2 linked regions of the Daphnia pulex genome follow. The protein of the gene in region 1 interacts with the protein of each later gene in a pairwise test. Links are inferred from orthologs where the notes say so. Each region holds a gene or a part of one and is shown in the gene's direction. Other genes may lie near its edges.

Region 1 (3,938 bases):
GTCCTCTTTGGGAAATGGTCCAAGAAGGGATTGATTTGAAAAGTATCAAATGGACGCAGCACTAATCTTTCCATTCAAAAACAAAACTGAAAATGTTGCTGTATAAATTCAGCCTTGTAAAGAAAATGATTTGGAAATATACACTGAAAATAGTGTTGACCAATAACCTTTAATATCTTTTAAGACGATTGTTGCAGAAAATGGTATCGTAAAGTTACAAGTTACTTTGGACTCTTTAACAGTAAAATGAGCCGGGAAATTTATTAGCTATCGGTACCATTGCGGTGCAATAATAAGTCAATATAAAGTATCGAAGGACTAGATCTAGAATAGATTAAAAAAAAAAAAAAACGGCACATCCTGCAGAGAAATTTGACAGCCTTAATATGTCCGTTTTTTGTTCAATAAACGAGTTGATATTTTTGACAATGCCAAACGACTAAGTTTCCGTCGAAGCTCTTTGGGTTAAAAAAGTTTGAAGTCGTTCCTAGCACACAAAAAAGCAGGTGTGCATGGTAACGAAGACTTTTGATTCCTTTCACACTCTTTGTATGTGATTTATGGGGCACTTTTACTTGACATTATACTTGAAGTCATTACATGAATTTCATTTAAAGTTTGGAAAAGGTGAAGAAGTTAATGTAATCTTAAGCGAGCAAGCGAACTTTTGTTTTTTTCATTGCTGCATATCGGGAAAAAAGTACAAAAACCGAAATTTCATATTGCGGCGATTTATTCTTTAGCCAATCGACAGCAATCCACGGCTCCCTACCCCTGAAATGCCAACCTATTTATTACATAGCTGTATCTAGGTAATTAAAAAAGGAAGAGGTTAAAAACCTGCTTGAGAAGCAATGCACTTTTTTTTATCATTTGTTCAATGGTATTTGTGAGTCATTCCGAACTTGAAACTTTTTTTTATTCCCCTCCCACTCTTTCCGTCTGGACAAACGGGCAGGGGAAACTAGCTATGTATTCCTACGCTAGAAATTTTAAAAAATATTCTAAAATATTATTGGACTTTCCCACAAATATTTGTTTTATTATTTTTTTTTGTTTTGGAATAAAACACATTAAATACGTAATTTCAAGCTATATTTAAATGTTTTTGGTTTTATTGGTTTACCATAGAAAAACAGAAAACGCCAAAAAAATAGTTCCGTTTCAAGCTGATGGCCGCCATCTTTAAGGGCTTTTTAGACGCGTCAGTACTTCAGAACGAAGCAGGTCCTTGTTTTCTGATTGTGGCAGGTGTGGCTCTGTTAATCTCTTGTCACCAAATCGAAATTCCAAAGGTATGTGACCTTAAATTGTTTAAAATTACACTTAAAATGTTTTTCGAAAGCAAACAACAATTTTCTCGACTTTTGAATGGCTTTTTACTGTGTCGAAATCTCAAGTGACAGTCAAACACGCAGTTTACTTCATCATAGTTGCGACACTTTGTTAGCCCTGGTTCTTACCCTCGTTTCTTTATTTAAGGTTATCTCGTCGCAAAGTCGTCGATACACAGCCGCATCATGAGTTATCAGATGCAGGCACAAGGGAGGCCAAGTATGAGCTTTTTTAAATTAAAATTTTTCATTAAATCTATTATAACTCTTTAATTTGTATGTATAGTGTCACATGGGCAATATGTTAGCAATAGCCCTGCTGATCTTCCTATGCCCAGCGTTAAGGAACATACATTGATGTGGCAAGGAGTTGGGCAACCTGGATATGTAGGAGATTCAGGAATCCAAAGTGGGGCAACCACTCAGGTAAATATTGAGTGAATTGTGCGAGTGAAGGTAACCTTTCGAACTAAATGTTTACTTCTTAGGCCCCATCACTCTCTGGAAGAGGTGGTGATGATGATATGGATACTTCTGAAGGAGGAGTCATGCTTAACATGGGTGGATCAAGTGGCTATTCAGCTGGTTATACTCAAGACCAAGTTGAAGGTAAACAATAAAATATTTTTGATTCTTATTGCGGTATATGTTTTAATCAAATACTTTGTTACAGACATGAATGCTCAGTTAAACCAGACTCGCTCCCAGCGTATTCGTGCTGCCATGTTTCCAGAGACACTGGATGAAGGAATGGAAATTCCATCTACTCAGTTTGATACCACACAGCCAACTGCTGTTCAGCGTTTAGCCGAACCGTCGCAAATGTTGAAACATGCCGTTGTTAATTTGATCAACTATCAGGTATTATTGCTGAAATTCAAAATTTTGAACTGCTTAAAGTAATAATATTTGGGTTGGTAGGATGATGCTGATCTAGCTACAAGAGCTATTCCCGAACTGATCAAGTTGTTGAACGATGAAGATCAAGTTGTCGTATCTCATGCTGCCATGATGGTTCACCAGTTGTCCAAGAAGGAAGCGTCCCGCCATGCTATCATGAATAGCCCACAGGCAACCAAAGTTTCTATGATTTTATTATTACTCTGTGTTACACTTCTTTTAAAATTATTTTCCAAGTTCATAATGCATATCCGTTTGATCGTAGATGATTGCGGCTCTCGTTCGAGCACTGTCCAATAGCAATGACCTGGAAACAACCAAAGGTGCCGTTGGTACCCTGCACAACCTATCACATCACCGCCAAGGATTGTTGGCTATTTTTAAATCTGGGGGAATTCCAGCTTTGGTGAAGCTGTTGAGGTATTGTCCCGTCTCATCCTTCATGTGTCCGAACTGACGGCTTTCTTCAAACGTTACTTATTTTTATTTTTTGTCATCTCGAAAAGCTCGCCCGTGGAATCCGTTCTTTTTTATGCTATCACGACGCTGCACAACTTGCTGCTCCATCAAGAAGGCTCAAAAATGGCCGTTCGTTTGGCGGGTGGTTTACAGAAGATGGTTGCTCTCCTTCAGCGCAACAATGTCAAATTCTTGGCAATCGTTACTGATTGTCTTCAAATTCTGGCGTATGGCAATCAAGAATCCAAGTTGATCATTTTAGCTTCACAGGGGCCGATGGAACTTGTTCGAATTCTTCGGTCATATACTTACGAAAAGCTGCTGTGGACCACTTCACGAGTTTTGAAAGGTAATTTATAAAAACCGTAATGTTTAATGTACGTGATTTATTTATAAATTTTTTTCCCAGTGCTGTCGGTCTGTTCTAGCAACAAACCAGCTATTGTTGAAGCTGGAGGTATGCAAGCGTTGGCAATGCACTTGGGCCACCAAAGTCATCGCCTAGTTCAGAACTGTTTATGGACCTGCCGCAATCTTTCCGATGCTGCGACCAAGCAGGTGATTATCTTCTAAAAGAAAAATTATTTTATGTTCTGCTCCTATCTTAAGGACAATGCTTATACCTTTATTTTTCTCTTACAGCAAGAAGGTTTAGAAACCCTGCTTCAAGGACTTGTTCAGTTGTTAGGTTCTAGTGATGTTAACGTAATCACTTGCGCTGCCGGAATTCTCTCTAACTTGACTTGCAACAACCAACGCAACAAGACTGTTGTGTGTCAAGTCGGTGGTATCGAAGCGCTGGTTCGCACCATTATTCATGCTGGCGATCGTGAAGAAATCACCGAACCTGCCGTAATATATCCATCTTTTTAAAATGACAAACGTGTTGGTTCTTACAAAATCCATTAATTACAGATATGTGCTCTGCGTCACATGACATCACGTCACGCTGAAGCTGAAATGGCTCAAAATGCTGTTCGTCTTAGTGGTGGACTGCCCGTCATTGTCCGTTTATTGCAACCCCCCTCTCGTTGGCCACTCATCAAGGGTATGTATCATTATAGCAAGTTTGTCTTTTAAAATGTCTCATAATTACCATTTTTGTTTAGCTCTGATCGGGTTGGTTCGTAATCTGGCTTTATGCCCTGCTAACCACGCTCCGCTGCGAGAACAAGGAGTTATTACTCGTTTGGTGCAGCTGTTGATCCGTGCTTTCCAAGACATCCAACGAGTACGTTTGTTTTA
Region 2 (16,726 bases), on another chromosome or scaffold:
TGCAGCATTCGCGTTACGTGAGGTGAAAACAAACAAACACTTTTTTATTTCGCCCGTGTCTCTTTGACGATTTGAAATTTATCTCTTTCGTCTGGAACACACACAAAAACCAAAAACCAAAACTTGTTCTTTGTATTTATATAGTGAAAAGTTTCTAGTCAAAGTTCTCAAAGAGGGTTTCTCCAGCTACATCGGCAAAGCCAATCACAGCGCTACGCTCTTCACGGTACGACCGCACCTATTTCATCCGCCCGAAATTTGCATATTCGATATCTGAAAAAAGATTTTATTTTGATTTTTATTTATTTTTAATAGGAACTGGGAAACGCCGATTTGAAAAAGGATCTTTATTTGGTCGTCCAAGTCATCCGACTTGGCCGGCTACTCTACACCGAGTCGTCCAAGAAGCCGCTCAGTCAGACGTACCGGCGCCCGCACGCCGTCGCCGTCTTGCCTTTGGCCGAGTTGCTGGCCGACGCCGGCGGATTAGGCACCCTGGAAGAAGAGGAAGAAAGAGAATTTCCTCTGAAATTGTACCAGAGCGACGAGAAAGACTACGGACTCTGGCAGCACGAATTGGTGGCCAAGAAATCCACCAGTAAATTCAGTCTCCTCTCCGGACAGATTTCTCAAGGTAAGAAATTTCCATCCCATTATGTAATTGGCCCACTTCCGGCTTCCATTCATTCATTTCTCTTTTTATTTTCAAGGTGTGGTGGTTTCGCTGAGGCTGTTGCGTGGCGAATTGGCCGCCTTGCGTCACGAATACATTCACCTTCTGAAGAACGTCCCACTGACTCAAAAGCTGGGCTTTCCCGATGTTATCATGCCCGGTGACGTCAGGTATTTTCTCTATACGCTAATTACCTTCGGGGGATTTCTTCGTCTTAACCAAACAAATCACTTCCGGTTTTATCCAGGAACGATTTGTACTTTGTAATCGAACGCGGCGATTTCGAGCGCGGTGGCAAATCGTCGAGTAAAAACGTCGAGGTGACCGTCCTGGTCCTGGACGAATTCGGCCGACCCATCCAGGTAAAAAAATACAAAATGTGGGTGGTGTGATGATGTTGTGACAAAACGATATTAACAGGTAGAAAACACGAAATGGCACGAACCGAGAGAGTTCTAGACGCCACCAGATTTTTAATGGCGACGCGCTATAGGCGACACGCCGCTTATTTTATATTTTAACATTTTTGTTTTTCCCACGCAACCCGTATGATAATTAAGTAGGGAAACCGGCTTTTTTTTCCCCCCACCGATGATAATCAGCCAATGTGTTTTTTCTTTTCTTTCCTTCTACTCGTCGGGGCTGCTGCCACACGCATGAATAACTTGGACGTGTAATAATCCCCACCACCAACCGGTCGAGTCTGGTGGATAAGTTTTGAGAGTGTCGAGCCCAGTGCCCTTTGATGGCCTTGATTATTATTATCGTCAGACTCTGCGCGCGCTATCTTTACATATTTCTTTTCTGGCCGTCTTACAATTCATCACATTGTTGTTGATCGGGAACAATGGGAACAACTACTGAAATTGAATTGAATTTTTTTTTAATGATTAAATCTCTTTTATTTTTTGTTTGTGTGTGTATTTGATAGAATTGTTTGTACGGAGCCTCCAATGTTGAGGGTGTGACGCAACACCAATCTGTCGTCCTCTACCACATGAACAGCCCAGTGTGGTACGAGATGATCAAAGTTTCATTGCCCATCGAAAAGTATTACGGCGCCCATTTGCGGCTAGAGTACCGGCACTGCAGCAGTAAGTTTTTTAGCGCTAGGCCATTTAGATGGTCCAGTAAAAATATAAAATAAATGTCATTCAATTCAATTTTGATTAGCCAAAGATAAAACGGAGAAGCGGCTCATCGGTTTCTCCTTCATCCCGTTGATGGACCGTGACGGAACGGTTTTGCCCGACGGCCAGCACCAACTGCTGGTCTACAAAGTGGAGGATCAGACCCGTTTCAAGGATCCCTCCGTCTCCTATCTCCAGTTGCCCTACTCGACGAAACAGATCCAGTCGGCCCTGGCCGTTCAGTCGACTTCTTCCATCGGCTCGTCGTCACCGTCCTGCGCCTCGTTCCATCGAAACAGTCGCGAGTCGGTCACGGTAGCTTTTTACCTGTGCTCCACCAAACTCACTCAAAATGGTTTTCAATTATATTCACCGGATGTATTTGTACCAAGACAAACTAATCGATTTTTTCTTTATTCTCCACAGCCAATTTGTTGTCGTTGCTCAAGTGGAAATCTCATCCGGAACGGATCACGGACACACTCAACCTGGTCATGCGTCTCAGAGGGGAGGAGCTAGTCAAGTTTCTCCAGGACGTGCTCGACTCGCTTTTCGTCATGTTCTCCGATACGGAAGGCAACGCCACGCCCCATTCTGGCCTGGTCTTTGAAGTCCTGGTATGTCAAATAAAAAATGAATAGATTTCACGCCATATTAATGACATTTATAGCTCGTGATGGTTTTTTAATTAATTGGTTAATTTATAGGTCAATATTCTGAGTCTGCTGGATGACAGTAAATTCCAGCACTTTAAATCGGTGGTCGACGCCTACATTACCGACCATTTCTCAGCGGCTTTGGCTTACAAGTAATTGACGATTATTTTGAATTGATTGAATTGTTCGTTTTTATTTTTTTAAATGAATTAAATTCATTAGGGGACTGCTGAGTTGCGTCCAGCAATGCACTGACCGGGTTCACTCGAGCAGCGATTGCAAGTTCGAGCCGATCCAGCAGTGCTTCCGGGCTTTTGAAATTCTCTTCAAATTGGTGATCCAGTCACGGCGGCTCTACGCCAGGGCCATCCTGGAAAACCAGGAGGACGACGATTTCCGCCAATATGTCCAGTCACTTTTCGCCACTTTCAACAAGGTCGCCTCGCTCAACAGCGACGTCCTCGTCAGCACTCAGGTAACATACAATACGCCGGAATATTTATGTTTTATCCAGCGATTTCTATTGATATCCGGCTCGTCCATTTTTTTTTTCCAGGTTGTGCTGCTGCGCAATATTTACACTGTGGTGGAACAGCTGAGCCAAATCCTGAGCCAAGCGGAATCCTCCAAACTCTTGGCGTCGTTGATCGACAGCCTGCCCAAAGAGCCGCATCCGCTGATCGCCACGGCCCGGATGCAGCTCGTCCTGACCACCGTCCGCGGGCCGCTCTTTACGGAATCGTCGGCCGCTCGGGCCATTCTGCTGGCCACCATCTGCCGCCAGCTTCGGCTCCACCTGTCGCAGCCGCTGGTCATGTCCCTGTGCACGGAAACCCTGGGCCACATGATGAATTTCTACCGCAAGATGAGCATGATGGACGACACGACGGTGGACAACATTTGGTATCGCGACGTCGAAACCATCACCTTAGCGACGCTGGGCGTCCTCATCCAGGCCGTCCAATCGGCCCAGAAAACCGATTCCAATGTGGTAAGAATTGGCATTTGGATGGCGTAACAATTGGATCGTATTAAAAATGATTCTTATTTTGGCGGATGAATTGAAACAGGGCCCTCTGGTGGCCTGCTTGCTGAGCGTACTGGAACTGCTGGATCAGGGCCACTACGACCGACTCTGGTCGGAATTGTCGGAACGCAAACCGCTCAAGGATTTCCTGCTGCAACTGTTCGCCGTGCTGAGGGCGCTGGCCCGCCAAGGCGAGCACGTCTTCCCGTCCGAGTGGTCCACCATGCACTGCGTTGTCAACCGCGTCATGCTGGCATCTCTGGATCAAATGACCCAACCGCTTGTGGCCTATTTCCTCGACTCCGGCTGGTTCGACAGTCAGGTATACTAAGCAATCCTTGTCAAAACTTTTATTTCATTTGTGATGATTTAACCAATGAAATTATTTTCCAGCTGTGGAGCAATTACTTCGATCTGGCCGTCTCTTTTTTGACGCAACCCAGTTTGCAGCTGGAAAAGCGCACCCCCAGTCAGCGACTGAAAATGGTCCGCGCCCAGGGAGGCGATATGCGGGTTCAGATGGGCTTCCAAATTCTGGTATTATTTTGATAGAAATTGAAATTTTTTAAAAGCCGAATAATTTCAAACTATTTTCTCTCAAAATTCTTAGACTATGTGGAATGCCATCGGTGATTACAAGATTCATTTTATACCGACGATGGTCGGGCCATTTCTGCAAGTGACACTAGTTCCAGAACCAACTCTGCGCCGGGCCACACTGCCCATCTTTTTCGACATGCTCGACTGCGAACATCGACACAGGGGAAACTTCAAACAGGTAAATATTTATTAAATGAACCCTCTAAAGTTCAATGAAATTCAAATCTTTTCATATTCTGTCAGGTTGAATCGGAACTGATTGACAAGTTGGACGTCCTGGTGGGCGAGAATAAAGGAGACGACAATTACAAGGAACTCTTCAACACCATGTAAGTGTTTTCATTTCCTTTTTTGATTAGTGGCATTTTCCAATCAATGTTTTGCTCTGCGATTGACTTAAAATTGATCTTTCTCTTTAACGCTTCTTAAACACAAAATGAAAGGGAAATGTTGAGCTCAATGTAAGTATTGTTGGGCCCAATCAGATAAACTCTCCGACTATATCTTCTCGATCGCGAATCGTGAAATGACTAATTGGTTTTATTCAAATTCCGGTTGCAGATTGTTGGAGAAGGTGAAATCGTGCGACGTGACGTGGCAGAAACACGGCAAGGCTTTCATAGGTTCCATTACGCGACTCTTGGAACGGCTGCTGGACTACCGCAACGTCATGGAAGGCGAAGAGAATCGTGACAAACGAATGAGCTGCACCTTCAATTTGCTGGTATAGTACAAGTACAACAAGTTCATAAATTTGTCACGAGCCGGAATTATTCTTCAATTCAATTCAAAAATTTTTGTATTTTGATTCAGAATTTCTACAAAGACGAGGTGGACCGCCGTGACATGTACCTGCGCTACATCTACAAATTGCACGATCTCCACTTATCGGCTGACAACTACACCGAAGCAGCCCTGACGTTACAATTGCACGCCAACCAAATGAGTTGGTCCAGCCAAAATTTGCCAGCCGACGGCCATCACTCGTCGCAAATGGAGTGGCAACGCAAGGAGTAACAAACCGGACTACTACTATTAATGGGCTAAACTTCAATTATTTTACAATTTATTCCGCAGGCAAATTTACATGAAGAGCATTGCGTATTTCGACCGCGGCAAGTGCTGGGAAAAGGGGATCCCGCTGTGTAAGGAGCTGGCCGACTTTTACGAGACTCGACTCTACGACTACGGCAAACTCTCGCACATATTGCGGATGCAGGCCGCTTTTTACGACCACATCCTGACGCAGCTGCGGCCTGAACCCGAGTACTTTCGCGTCGGCTTCTACGGCCAGGGATTCCCGCTCTTCCTGCGCAATCGCCTCTTCGTCTACCGGGGGCTCGAGTACGAGCGGATCGGCGCATTTACCCAGCGGCTCCAGACCGAGTTCCCCACCGCCCACATTCTGACCAAAAACACTCCGCCGGGCGACGTCATCCTGACCTCGGAGGGCCAGCACATCCAGATCTGCAACGTCAAACCCGTGGCGGAGGACCATCCGGTGTTCGACGCCGGACTCGTTGGTTTTCACGAAAAGATTCGCAGCTATTACCGCGTCAACGACGTCCGCCGCTTCCAGCTGGATCGGCCCATCCACAAAGGACCTGTTGATCGAGACAACGAATTCAAAAGCCTCTGGATCGAACGCACTTGGCTCGTCACCGAGCATCCGTAAGTCAACTCATGTTCAATCAATTGAATTTCGAATAAAATGGCGGGAATTTTAAATTTTCAGATTGCCGGGAATTTTGCGCTGGTTCCAAGTGGTCGACCGCCACGTCGAAGAGATCGCTCCGGTCCAGTACGCTTGCGAGACGGTCTTGTCGGTCAATCGCGAATTGCAGCAGCTGGCGTCGTTGCACGCCGCCGAACCTCGCCGGAACATCAATCCGTTCAGCATGCGACTTCAGGGCGTCATCGACGCCTGTGTCATGGGCGGAATCGCTAAATACCAGGAGGCTTTCTTCAATTCCGATTTCCTGGCCAGCCATCCTGGACACCTGGAACACGTCCTCCAACTGCGCCAGTGCATCGTCGAACAGGTCCGCATCCTGGAGGCTGGATTGGCCCTTCACGGCAAATTGGCCCCGCCGGAAGTCCAGCCGCTTCACAAAAGGCTGGTCGAGTGTCTGGCCCAGATGAAACAGCGTCTGAAAGAGTGGGGATTCCCTTCGCCGGACACTGGGGCTCGCTACGCCAATAGTCATGGGCCGTCGGCTGTAGCCCATCATCACCGACGGGCCGATAGCGACGCCGGAATTGAGTACAGCCCGGCCAAGGTGAACAGCAGCAATCCATTGCTCAACACGTCACTGCCGATGGTGTCGGACCGCATGAAAGCCCAGCGGTCGTTGACGGCCGGCGGACCGCCCAGCAATCGCTCCTCGAGTTCCAGCAGCAGCTTGTACGGCCATCTAACGGTGGGCGAAGTGGGCAGTGAAGACGAGGAGGACCTTTACTGTAAACCGTCGGAAATCCTGGAAAAATTACAAGCGGCCAGTGCAGCTGGATCGGTTCCACTCCAGCCGATCTATTCAACTTCGACGACGCCCAGGTCGACCGTCACCAACGTCAGCCGGGCCAAATCTCCCCGCTGGGCCAACGAGTACATCTTCTTCAGTCCCGCCTCTTTGCGGGATTCCGGATTCGGGACGGACCGCGAATCTTTGAGTTCCAACAATCCCATCAATTCGATGACAATCACCCGAACGCCGTTGAGCAGCAAAATCTCGCAGACGAGCCTCGCCCAGCAATCCCGGCACACTCTGTCCTCGCCCAACGTGCACGACACGGTGGATTCGACTCCGAGCCGGACTCCTCCGCGCCAAACTGCACCGCCCCTGCCGCCGAGATCATCGAAATCCTCGTTCGACGAATCGTTTGCCGGCGGATGCGATGCGTCATCTCCGCCCCCCATCCATCCCAAGCGAGTGCCAAAGAAAGGCTCAATGATCCCGTCCAATCTCATGATGTCGCCGGAAGCCATCGAAGCCGGAACGCTGCGACACCACCGACCGCCTCCGGCTCCTCCTCTGCCTCCGAAATCCGGATGCTCGGCCTCTCCCATGTCGACGCCAATGACGTTGACACCGGGTCCTGTGTTGAGCGGTCCGCCTCCGGTTCCGCCGCACGGCCGGCCGGCCATCAACAACAGCACTTCGTTTTCGAATCCGCTGGATCTCGGCAGCGGGAGCGGCAGCTTAGTCGACGAAGTGTGCAGTTTGTTGGCAGCTTCCGGCTGCCGGATGATGTCCAACGGCAGCCCCAAGAGTCCTAGTCCTCCCGCATCGCCCCCACCTCCCCTTCCGATCCTTCCGCCACCCGACGAATCTCTCTACTCTGTCGAAACCGCTTGAATTGAAATTTTAGTAATATCTGAGCAGCTTGGATTAGTCAGCTCGCCACAGTGACCGACAGAATGTCAAATCAAATCAACATCACTATACATCATTTACATATACTCACACACACACACCCGACGTTCATCCAAAGAAGAAAAAAACTCCGTTGCATTGTGTAGATCCTATTTTCCTATATTAGTTCAGCAGTAATAATAATAATAACTATTTCTTTCATTTTTTTTGTTTTTTCCCAATGAAACTATACTCATATCATATACTATTCCCTTGACGTTCCGTATCGGATCTTTCCTCCTCTCCTATTAGGCATCAACGTATATAAACGTAGCGCTGTGTCTATATTATATATGCCATGTCGAGTATTATCAATGGAGAAAACGTAGAGCGTTCCAGCGTTCCTGTCTCTTGTGTGTGTTGACATATCACAATAATCTGAGTGTCTGAGTGTAGTCTTCCATTTCTATATATTCCTTCGACAGATTCTTTGACTTCTCCTGACGGAAGAACATTTCAAAAGAAAAGAGCGAGTTCATGCATAATTTTTGTTTGTTTTCTTTCTGTTCTTTCATTATCTTGAGTTTTGAAGCTTTTTTCCATCAATCAATCACGGATCACGACGACATTCACTTGTGGATTGAGAGTCGCTTCGTTTTTTGGATGCAATTCCCAACAACGTGATTCTCGATCATCATGTCATTTCAAAGAACTTATTATCAAAAAAAGATTTTATGTAGATGTATCCATGATTAGAAATAAACGATGACAATGACCTGTCAATTTTTCTGAAATTTGGCAACTTCGCCGATTAACCACTGTTTTCAGTTTTCCGTTTGACAGCTGTCTCTTTTTAACTGCACAAAGAAAAAGAGAAACAATTAGTTTGTCTTTTTGACACATTTTTAGTGCGTAGCTAACTGTAGAATATTTGAATTTAGATCAAAATGTCGACTTTTTTTCACCAAGCAGGAACTGCAATGGAATGCCTCAGCGTGAGTGTCCCATCGAATTTGACGTTTGATTTTGACCTCGAATGACTCACCTAAATAACAATATTGTGTATCTAAAATGTCTAAATGTGTTGTATGTTCCAGATTCCCATAACTCTACACAAAGAATCTGTCCTAGATCATGAAGGAAGAGAAGTGCATAGGTGTGGCTTTAAAATAGGAGGAGGAATCGACCAGGACTTCAGAAAAAGTCCACAAAACTATTCCGATAATGTGAGTCCTTTAAGCAGTAACACTGCTGGTTGTAAAGATTTTACCATATTTTTATTGTCTATTTTCTTTAGGGAATTTATGTCACTGAAGTACAAGAAAATAGCCCAGGTAAGAGAGTGCAACAATTTGTTATTGTGAAAAATCTAAAAATTAATATATTTTTTATAAATTTATAGCAGCAAAAGCTGGTCTGCGGATGAATGACAAGATACTGCAGGTATTTTATTTGGTTGAGTTGTTTCTTTTTAAAACATTTACGGTCTTTCAGTGAATTAAGAAATATTAAACTTGAATTGAACTAGCTTAGTGAAATGTTTGCATCTAATTAACTCCAGATCTTGTATTTTGGTAATTACCTCAATTGTGCCAGTTTTGTTGCTTTTGGAAATATTGATTATCACTAAAATCCGGATGTCAGATAAGAAACTTTTTTGACCCGTCACGTTCGCACTTGGCACGTCTCGCCAGAAAGATGTCTTTAATATAATTCTTCGCGTCTTCCTTCGAGAGTGGACTTGGTTTGGCCTGATTTTAATAATTTGTTTTTTTCTTTATCTCCTTTTAAAGTGTAATGGGTACGATTTGACCATGTGCACTCACAAGAAGGCTGTCGACTACATCAAGAAATATCCCGTTTTGAATATGCTGGTTGCTCGCAAAGGAGTAACACATTCGTGAGCACAACAGTTTGGACGCGTTTGGACGACGAGGACCATTATATCAGCTTTATATAGATATTTATATATGATTTTTTGAGTTGGGGGTAAAAAAAAACGAGCCGTTTCAGTAAAATTGAATTTTATGTCGACTCTGCTCGTTTCCACCCCCCTTATTTGCTGGCGGCTTTCATCATTTTTCTAATCAATTTATGCTTTTCCTCTCTGTCACCTCCCTTCCAATTTGTGCTACAAAATTCAAAGAAGAGTCGCAGTATAATGTTGGATCGTGTCGTGCCAGTGCCAAAGTTCCCTCAAGATATTGTTTTTCATTTTGTCGAATGAATGATGTTGTTGTTTTTCTTCTTCTTCTTTTTCTTTCTAAAGGAACAAACCCAACGCAATATTTTGCTGATTGACTGGAGCCGATCGTTGAACTTGTCATCTTCCTTCTGTCTGTGAAACTGCTTTCAAATTAAATTTCAATAAAAATTCAAGACGAAAAAAAAATAAAATAAAATCGTTTGGCGCTGCCACCGAACCACGTTTTTGCTGATGATTGTGTCGATATGAGTGGAAGCGAGCGATTATTATGACGCGAAATACTCGAACCACGTCGGAAAAGAAAATGGCAAGCAGCTGAGTCATGAGGAGATAAAGAATCGGTCCCGCCTGCGATTGCTGAATTGACGTGACTGGTCGAGAGAGAGTGAAATGGTCCAGCCACCAAAGTCCAAGGCTCCCTTGGGTCAAACGGAAAACGGGTATTGCTTTTCGCTGTTACCGCACATGTTGCCGTCGTCCCTTGCGGCTCGGACGGGACGGACGCGATAATCAACCCATCAGGAAGCCAGTTGACACTCGCTCCATTCGAGCCCATCCAGCAGTCGTGTTTGCCTGCGCTCGCCAGCGCAGTCGCCCGTCTATAAATACGTGGATGAGCCAATGGATTCGAATTTCACTAGGATGGGCATGAAAACGCGGTTGGCCGTCCTTGTAGGGCTGGTCTTGGGTCTTGGTAAGTGTGTTTCATAGTGTTGTTGTTGTTGTTGTTGTTCCGTGTTTCGGTGCTCATTCCTACTACTCGCGATGGATATAAATCTCATCTTACTTTTTCATATTCCCGCCACCACCTGCCAACTTTTCCCCGACAGCTTCGGTGTCGTCTGCCCGATACAGTAAGTTCCGTATTTATAACATTTACCACGTTAGCATATAGTATAGCTTTTTCTGCTTTTTAAAATTGGAAAAATTAAAAAAGCACCATGGGCGGCGGGCAGTGAGTACGTCTACCGGATGCACGCCATCTCGGTCAGCGACATTCCGGAGCTGGGACCGCAGGCGGCCGGTGTCAAATTCGACTCCCAGCTGACGGTCCAGTGCCGCGACGCTGGGTCCATCGTCGTCAAGGTAAAGTTCGGAGTCATATCATATCATCATGTCACCGTATGGTTCTCTTTTTGTCTTTCTAAATGGAGTTTGAAATAAAATTAGCTGGTGGACGTCACCGCCTGGAATTTCCACACGGACGTCGGCGAGAGCTGGAGCGAACTCGAGTCCAGCCAACTCGGCACCCAGGTCGTCGTCGAGGGCAAATATTTTCTAGAGAAACCCTTCGTCATTCGTCACCGCGAGGGCTTGGTATTTAAAAAAAAAAAATCATCAATTGACTCGCATTTTCCATCAAGTTTTCACTTGGGGCGCTATTTATGAAATTCAGTTTGAATCGCTGGTGGTGAGTGCGGACGAGCCGTTTTGGTCCATCAACATGAAAAAAGCCGTGGCGTCCAAGTTGCAGCTGCACGTCTCTGGCAGCCGAAGTGTCGAGTCAGCGTCGCGCAACTTTGGCCTGCCAACGGAAGACTCTTATGACGACGTCAACTCTGTCTTCAAAGTCTTTGAGGTAATAGGGTCACTACACCGTATTTATGTATGTACATTTTGAAAATCTCCTTATCTTGGACGATACGCAGAGCGGTGTGACTGGCGAGTGTGAAACCCTCTACGAGATCGCCCCGTTATCGGATGCCCTCATTCGCTCCGACAGCAAACTCAACCCCATGCCCAAGCTGTGCGTCGAAGGGACTTTCTTCCAAGTGGTCAAGACCAAGGACTACAGCAAGTGTCGGCTCAACAAACCCGTCTACACCATCATCGCTCCTTCCGGATGGCAATGCAAATCGGGCGTGGCCGCTTGCGGAACAGCTCGTTCGGTAATATACGAAGTGAATTTCATTGAATTATTCAAATAATTTTACAAATGATTTATCTTTTCGATTGGATTTCAAACACAAAGCGCTCTTCCGTCAATCGTTACATCGCCTGCGGCAGCTTGGAATCCTTCACGTTATTGAAGATGACGCATCAAGGAGAAGTGAGGACCAGTCCGTACGCCTACGACACGGAGCAGCTCAGGTCTCTTTCGCTGATGAAGTTGACGCTGCAGGCCGTCCGCCACGCTTCGTCTTCTTCGGCCTGGCCGCCCAAGGATTTGGACAGTGGACTGGCCATCGGATCGCTAGTCTATTCCTTCCCGGGAACGAACGCCAGCAGCAGCAGTTGGCTTTCGGACGGACTGATGCGGATGCCTCTCCTGCGCGATCCCGACCAACTCCACCAGGGCGTCGACAACCTTCTGGAAGAGGTGGATCGCCTTCTGGCCAAGGCCGTCGATCAAATGGAAGTTAGTCAAGAGGAAGCAGCTGTCGATACGATTTCAGCCATTTCACATCTCGTCCGACACTTGGACTACCAGAAAATCAGTTCACTCGTTGGCGAAATTGGCCATCGCTCGACTCTTGAGAGGTGACGAGAAAATACTAAATATTCGGGACTGGATCATTTTTAAAATCGGAATTTTCAAAACAGGAGCATCTTGCTGGATGCAGTGATTGCAGCTGGCAGCAATCCAACAGTGACCTTCTTGAAAGAAGCCATTCTGAGCCGACGACTAACCAAGTCAGAGAGTTTGCAAGCCATTTCCGGTTTCCCGTTGTACGTGCGCACGCCGACAGCCGAGCTTCTTAACGAACTTTTTGTAACACAATCCTGAATTTGTTGACCCGATTCCAATCGCAAAACCGATTTGTTTTATTTCAACGCAGTTTACATGCAACCTTCACCTTTTTTGTTCATTCATTTATAGACTATGCTGAAAGCCACCAGCGCTTTTTCAGGATCGGAACGGCCCATCTATCACTCGGCGATGATGTCCGTTTCCCAACTGGCGCACGTGGCCTGTGTTAACGTCAGCGAAGCTCGAACTCGTTTTCCGGCTGGACTCTACGGCGACTTTTGCCAACCCAACGACGCTTTCATTACCAGCCGACTGGTCCCGCTCCTCTACAAAGAAATCAACGGAGGGGGCTCAATCGAAGACAAAATGGTTGCACTGACGGCCCTCGGAGAAATCGGCCACGAATCCATTCTCTCCGTCGTTCTTCCCATTATTAAAGCTAAGGTATTCACAGTTAAATTTAAATATGTCTGTCTGGTCAAATTGTCTGATTTTTTATCTTCATCATCCGATATTAGGGTGATTATTCTCCGCTCATCAGGACCAAGGCTGTAATCAGTCTGCACAAAATTGCTCACGATTCCAACACAAAGGTCATCCAAGTCCTGTCAACTACTTTCCAGAATCCAAACGAGAGTAGTGAAGTAAGTTATTGAATAGATTTGTACATAAGCGGGAAATCATACAATACAACTAAATTAATTTCGATTTGTTGCTCACAGGTTCGTATGGCAGCTTTCACGCTGCTCATTTTAGCCAATCCTCCGGCGTATAGGTGGCAGAGGATCGCCGTTTCCACTTGGTTTGAACATAGCGCTCAGGTATCTTAGGACGGTACACCTTTATAGTATAGTATACTTTATTTAGGTTTACCTGGTGTATTATTTTACTTACGTTTAAATTTTTTTTTCATATCTACCGATTTCAGGTAGCCTCCTTCGTGTACACGACTCTTTCCAGCTTGGCTAGCAACATTGAACCGGTCGAGAACTTAAAAGAATTGTAAGTTAATCTTATAATATTGGGTATAACTCATAGTTCATCAAATTTCTCTGGCCAATTGATTAGATCGGAGAAGGCACAAATTGTGTTGCCGTTAGCCAAACGCGTTCCCTTAGGTTTGAAATATTCATACAATTTGAAACGGTCTCAGTTGGTGGCAGAACGCAACGCCGGCGCCGAGTTCCACAGCGAAATGTTTAATTCTGAAGAGTCCATCTTCCCCAAAAGTTTGTACAGTCGGCTCAGTTGGGTTCTGGGGCCATACCACTTTGACATTTTCGAGGTAAACGACCATAATAATGAAAAATACAAACCAGCAAATAGTTTTTTAAATTTAAATCTCCTTTAGTTTGAAGCGTACGGAGAAAACTGGAGAAGTGCCTGGGACCGAATTGTGGCCAAATTCAACCCGTCCTCGGAGAACGGTGACAGTTCTCAATCAAGAAATAGCGGCCGCTTCCGCGAATTCGACCTGCATCCAGACCTGCGCCGAGTGAAGAAACAGCTCAACGCCAAAAGTCCCATTCCAGCACAGGACGCCGGATCGGCGGACGCCTTCTTGCATCTGAGTTTGATGAAAGCTGTTCATCATTTCACTTCCTTCGACGAGGCAGGCATTACCGACTTAATACAAAGTATTAACTTAAAACTCTTGCCAAGCTGTTTACAAAATAAATTTTGAAAATTGACCGACACAGGTCTATGGGCTTCCAGTAGCGTCTCTGTCAAGCGCGAATTTTCCCGTCGCAAGTGGATGCCTTTGACTCACGCTGAAGTTCTGGTGCCAAGCACGCTTGGCTTCATGATTAGTACACGCACTCAGACTCAAGTTTTGACATCTTTCAAAGGTATCTCGCACATTCCGTTTCTCAGTTATCACAATTGCGTTCATTCGAGCCCAATTTATCTTAGGTGATATGCAAATCACCAACGGAGGCTTCAGCGATTTTATGGATTTGAAGAAATGGGCTAGTTCCGCCTCTATCAAGAATCTGGGTCTTGAACTTGACGTCAAGCCAACGTATTTAAAAATATTTCAGTCCGTTTTTTAAACGATTTTAAAAATAACATATTGCTGATTGTCATTCGTAGAATAGTCGTCAAATTGATGGCCAGCATGAGTGTCAACGTGGAATTCACTAAAGCGATACCAGTTTCGGGCGTTGACACTCACGTGACCCTTAGTCTACCTGGCCGGTTAACTCTTGGTGTCGAACTAGACAACTGGAAATTGATGACGGCCTGGAAGCCGGCTTCATCGGGACCGGCTGGGCTTACCACCCTTTATCACTACCGGGTCCGGCCGTTCACGGCTCTACAGGCTCTCGGCACGGACCTGCCAATTAATCCTAGTCCCGGTGAATCAAAAGATGTTCATGCATTTGGAGTGACTCCTCAGACGGTAGCCAAATCCAATGTTAATTAACTACCGGTTTTTACAATTATAATAAAGTGTTGTATCATTGACAATTCAATTTCAGCATCAATATCCAGTCGGGGGCAAGACCGGATTGAAATTGGATTGGACAAGCAGGAGTGAACTTCCAGCTTCGGCCAATCATCGATCCATTTGGCAAGAACCACTTTCCAAAATCCTCATGGACGCGAACTTTGCTCTCCTTCCTGTTTCACTCCACCTTCAGTCTTACCGCGTTACTCTGGATCCAATTGCCTCCGAAACCACCAAAATTGTCTTCTCCTTGAATCTCGGTAAAAAAATCTCAATTAGTGATAACAATTCAAGCGAACCAGAGAGAGAATTCTAAAATTTTGAATGCAATTATTTTGCAGATGCAGCAGATAAGTTGGATAGAGGAACTCAAGTGTACAGCACAGGTTCGAAATCACCTGCCGCCATCAAAGAACCGGCCAATCGCATTCAGTACCTGTCAAACAATATGGAACCTCAAATCAAGAAGAAACTTAACAAGGTATTATCTTGTAATAGATCTAATAATATTAACTCTAGGTGTCTATTTCCTATTTTAACTAGAGGATTATCAAGCTGATTGAATTAAAAAAATTTTATTTCATGTTTTGTTCTTGGCGAAGGTTCTGGGCCCTGTACCAAAAGGATCGGCCATTCACGTGGACGCCAAGTTTATCATGGAAAAAATGGGTTCACCGCCTAAGATTTATGGTGCCTCTTTTGCTGGAGCATACGGAACGGAAGGCACCAAACTGGCCGTTAATGCTCAGCTGGAATTACCCATCAATCAAGAAGTGTCGGATCCGTTTACCGTAGGAATTCTTAGTTTAAATATTTAAAAAAAAACAAAACATATGCTTAAAATTGCCGGCTATTTTTTTCATTCTGATAGTTATGCATTGAAGGAGGCGGAAACTATCCGCGACTACCTTCCCTGGACCGACGTACTTTGATTGAGACAGCAATGGAAGCTTCTTGGAACGCCAACATTGGTTTTGGAGACTCTTGTTCTGACCATCAGATCGTTGTTGATGTACGTATAGTTGCACTATCTCCATTTAGCGCATCCACGTAACTATAGGTTTAAAATGATTAGGTTGGCATGAGACGCAGCGAAACGTTTGGGCGATACGTGGAAGATTCGCCAGAGAATCGAGATTGCATCATGCACGAATCTCGTGGAGAATTCAGCCATGAGCAATGTCTGGCTGTCAAGGAGCTTGCCACCGTGCTGGACGAGTACGACGCCACCGTCAAATACGGCCACGTATAATTTCATTCATCCGATAATAGTTCTCCTAATTTTGCTATCGAAAAGCAGTTCCTGACGGTTTCATTTTTCCGTCTCGTTCGTGAAGATGTTACCCATACTGTTGAACGCCACGCTGGGCATGGAAGGCTGGCTGAAAAGCAAATTCTATCCGCACCTGTCGGAAAATCGAGTCGGAGTCAATAACGCCAACAAGCAGCTGCGAATCTCCGCCAAAGTTCAACCGTCCTTGTCGGCCGTTGATTTGATGTTTTTCAAGCCGCAGTCCAACACTTTGTTCCGTAAACTTCCGCTTTCCGACACGGACAATGTGGTTTTCCCAATCAGCGCCAAGAGTTCTTTCATCGAGAGATTGATCGACAACACCATCAGCGATGGATTTGCTCGTAGGCCATTTTCGAATTATTTCTTTGTCGCTTTAACATTTACCGAAAAATATTAACCAAATTTAATTGCTATTTGTTAAACATAATATAGCGATTTGTCGCTTGGAAAGGAATAGCATTACGACGTTCGACAAAGTGCAATACAACGCGCACATCAACGACTGTGAGCATGTCGTGTTGACGGTTCCAGGCATCGAGACGCTGGCCGTGCTGATGCGTCAAGATGGCGAGAACAAAGTGGGTGATGGCTAGATTTTCTTACTGTCTAATTTAATTGTTTATCCGCCACCTGCTAATAATTC

Evidence for each region.
Region 2: the proteins of armadillo segment polarity protein-like (region 1) and tax1-binding protein 3 homolog interact in a two-hybrid assay, tested with the Caenorhabditis elegans proteins (2 studies listed by BioGRID). The link is inferred for Daphnia pulex from reciprocal best matches to the Caenorhabditis elegans genes hmp-2 and txbp-3.

What each region holds. Positions count from the first base shown.
Region 1 is NC_060020.1:4,722,842-4,726,779, reverse strand, and holds the start of armadillo segment polarity protein-like, read left to right. Parts: upstream 1-1,138; 5' UTR 1,139-1,295; intron 1,296-1,482; 5' UTR 1,483-1,520; coding exon 1,521-1,554; intron 1,555-1,620; coding exon 1,621-1,760; intron 1,761-1,822; coding exon 1,823-1,943; intron 1,944-2,007; coding exon 2,008-2,195; intron 2,196-2,255; coding exon 2,256-2,414; intron 2,415-2,499; coding exon 2,500-2,654; intron 2,655-2,740; coding exon 2,741-3,042; intron 3,043-3,102; coding exon 3,103-3,251; intron 3,252-3,335; coding exon 3,336-3,545; intron 3,546-3,608; coding exon 3,609-3,741; intron 3,742-3,802; coding exon 3,803-3,924; intron 3,925-3,938. Other genes in the region: cysteine desulfurase, mitochondrial-like, read left to right, coding at 2-65. UniProt on the Caenorhabditis elegans protein: Required for cell migration during body enclosure and cell shape changes during body elongation. Plays a role in recruitment of the cadherin protein hmr-1 to adherens junctions.
Region 2 is NC_060028.1:2,455,269-2,471,994, forward strand, and holds tax1-binding protein 3 homolog, read left to right. Parts: upstream 1-8,292; 5' UTR 8,293-8,386; coding exon 8,387-8,434; exon of another isoform or gene 8,435-8,484; intron 8,485-8,536; coding exon 8,537-8,665; intron 8,666-8,736; coding exon 8,737-8,773; intron 8,774-8,841; coding exon 8,842-8,882; intron 8,883-9,021; exon of another isoform or gene 9,022-9,232; coding exon 9,233-9,343; 3' UTR 9,344-9,862; downstream 9,863-16,726. Other genes in the region: dedicator of cytokinesis protein 3-like, read left to right, coding at 1-22, 145-226, 316-634, 711-843, 921-1,035, 1,605-1,767, 1,847-2,158, 2,230-2,420 and 12 more; vitellogenin-like, read left to right, coding at 10,267-10,339, 10,476-10,499, 10,568-10,731, 10,816-10,962, 11,042-11,224, 11,295-11,534, 11,618-12,126, 12,190-12,358 and 16 more. UniProt on the Caenorhabditis elegans protein: May regulate a number of protein-protein interactions by competing for PDZ domain binding sites.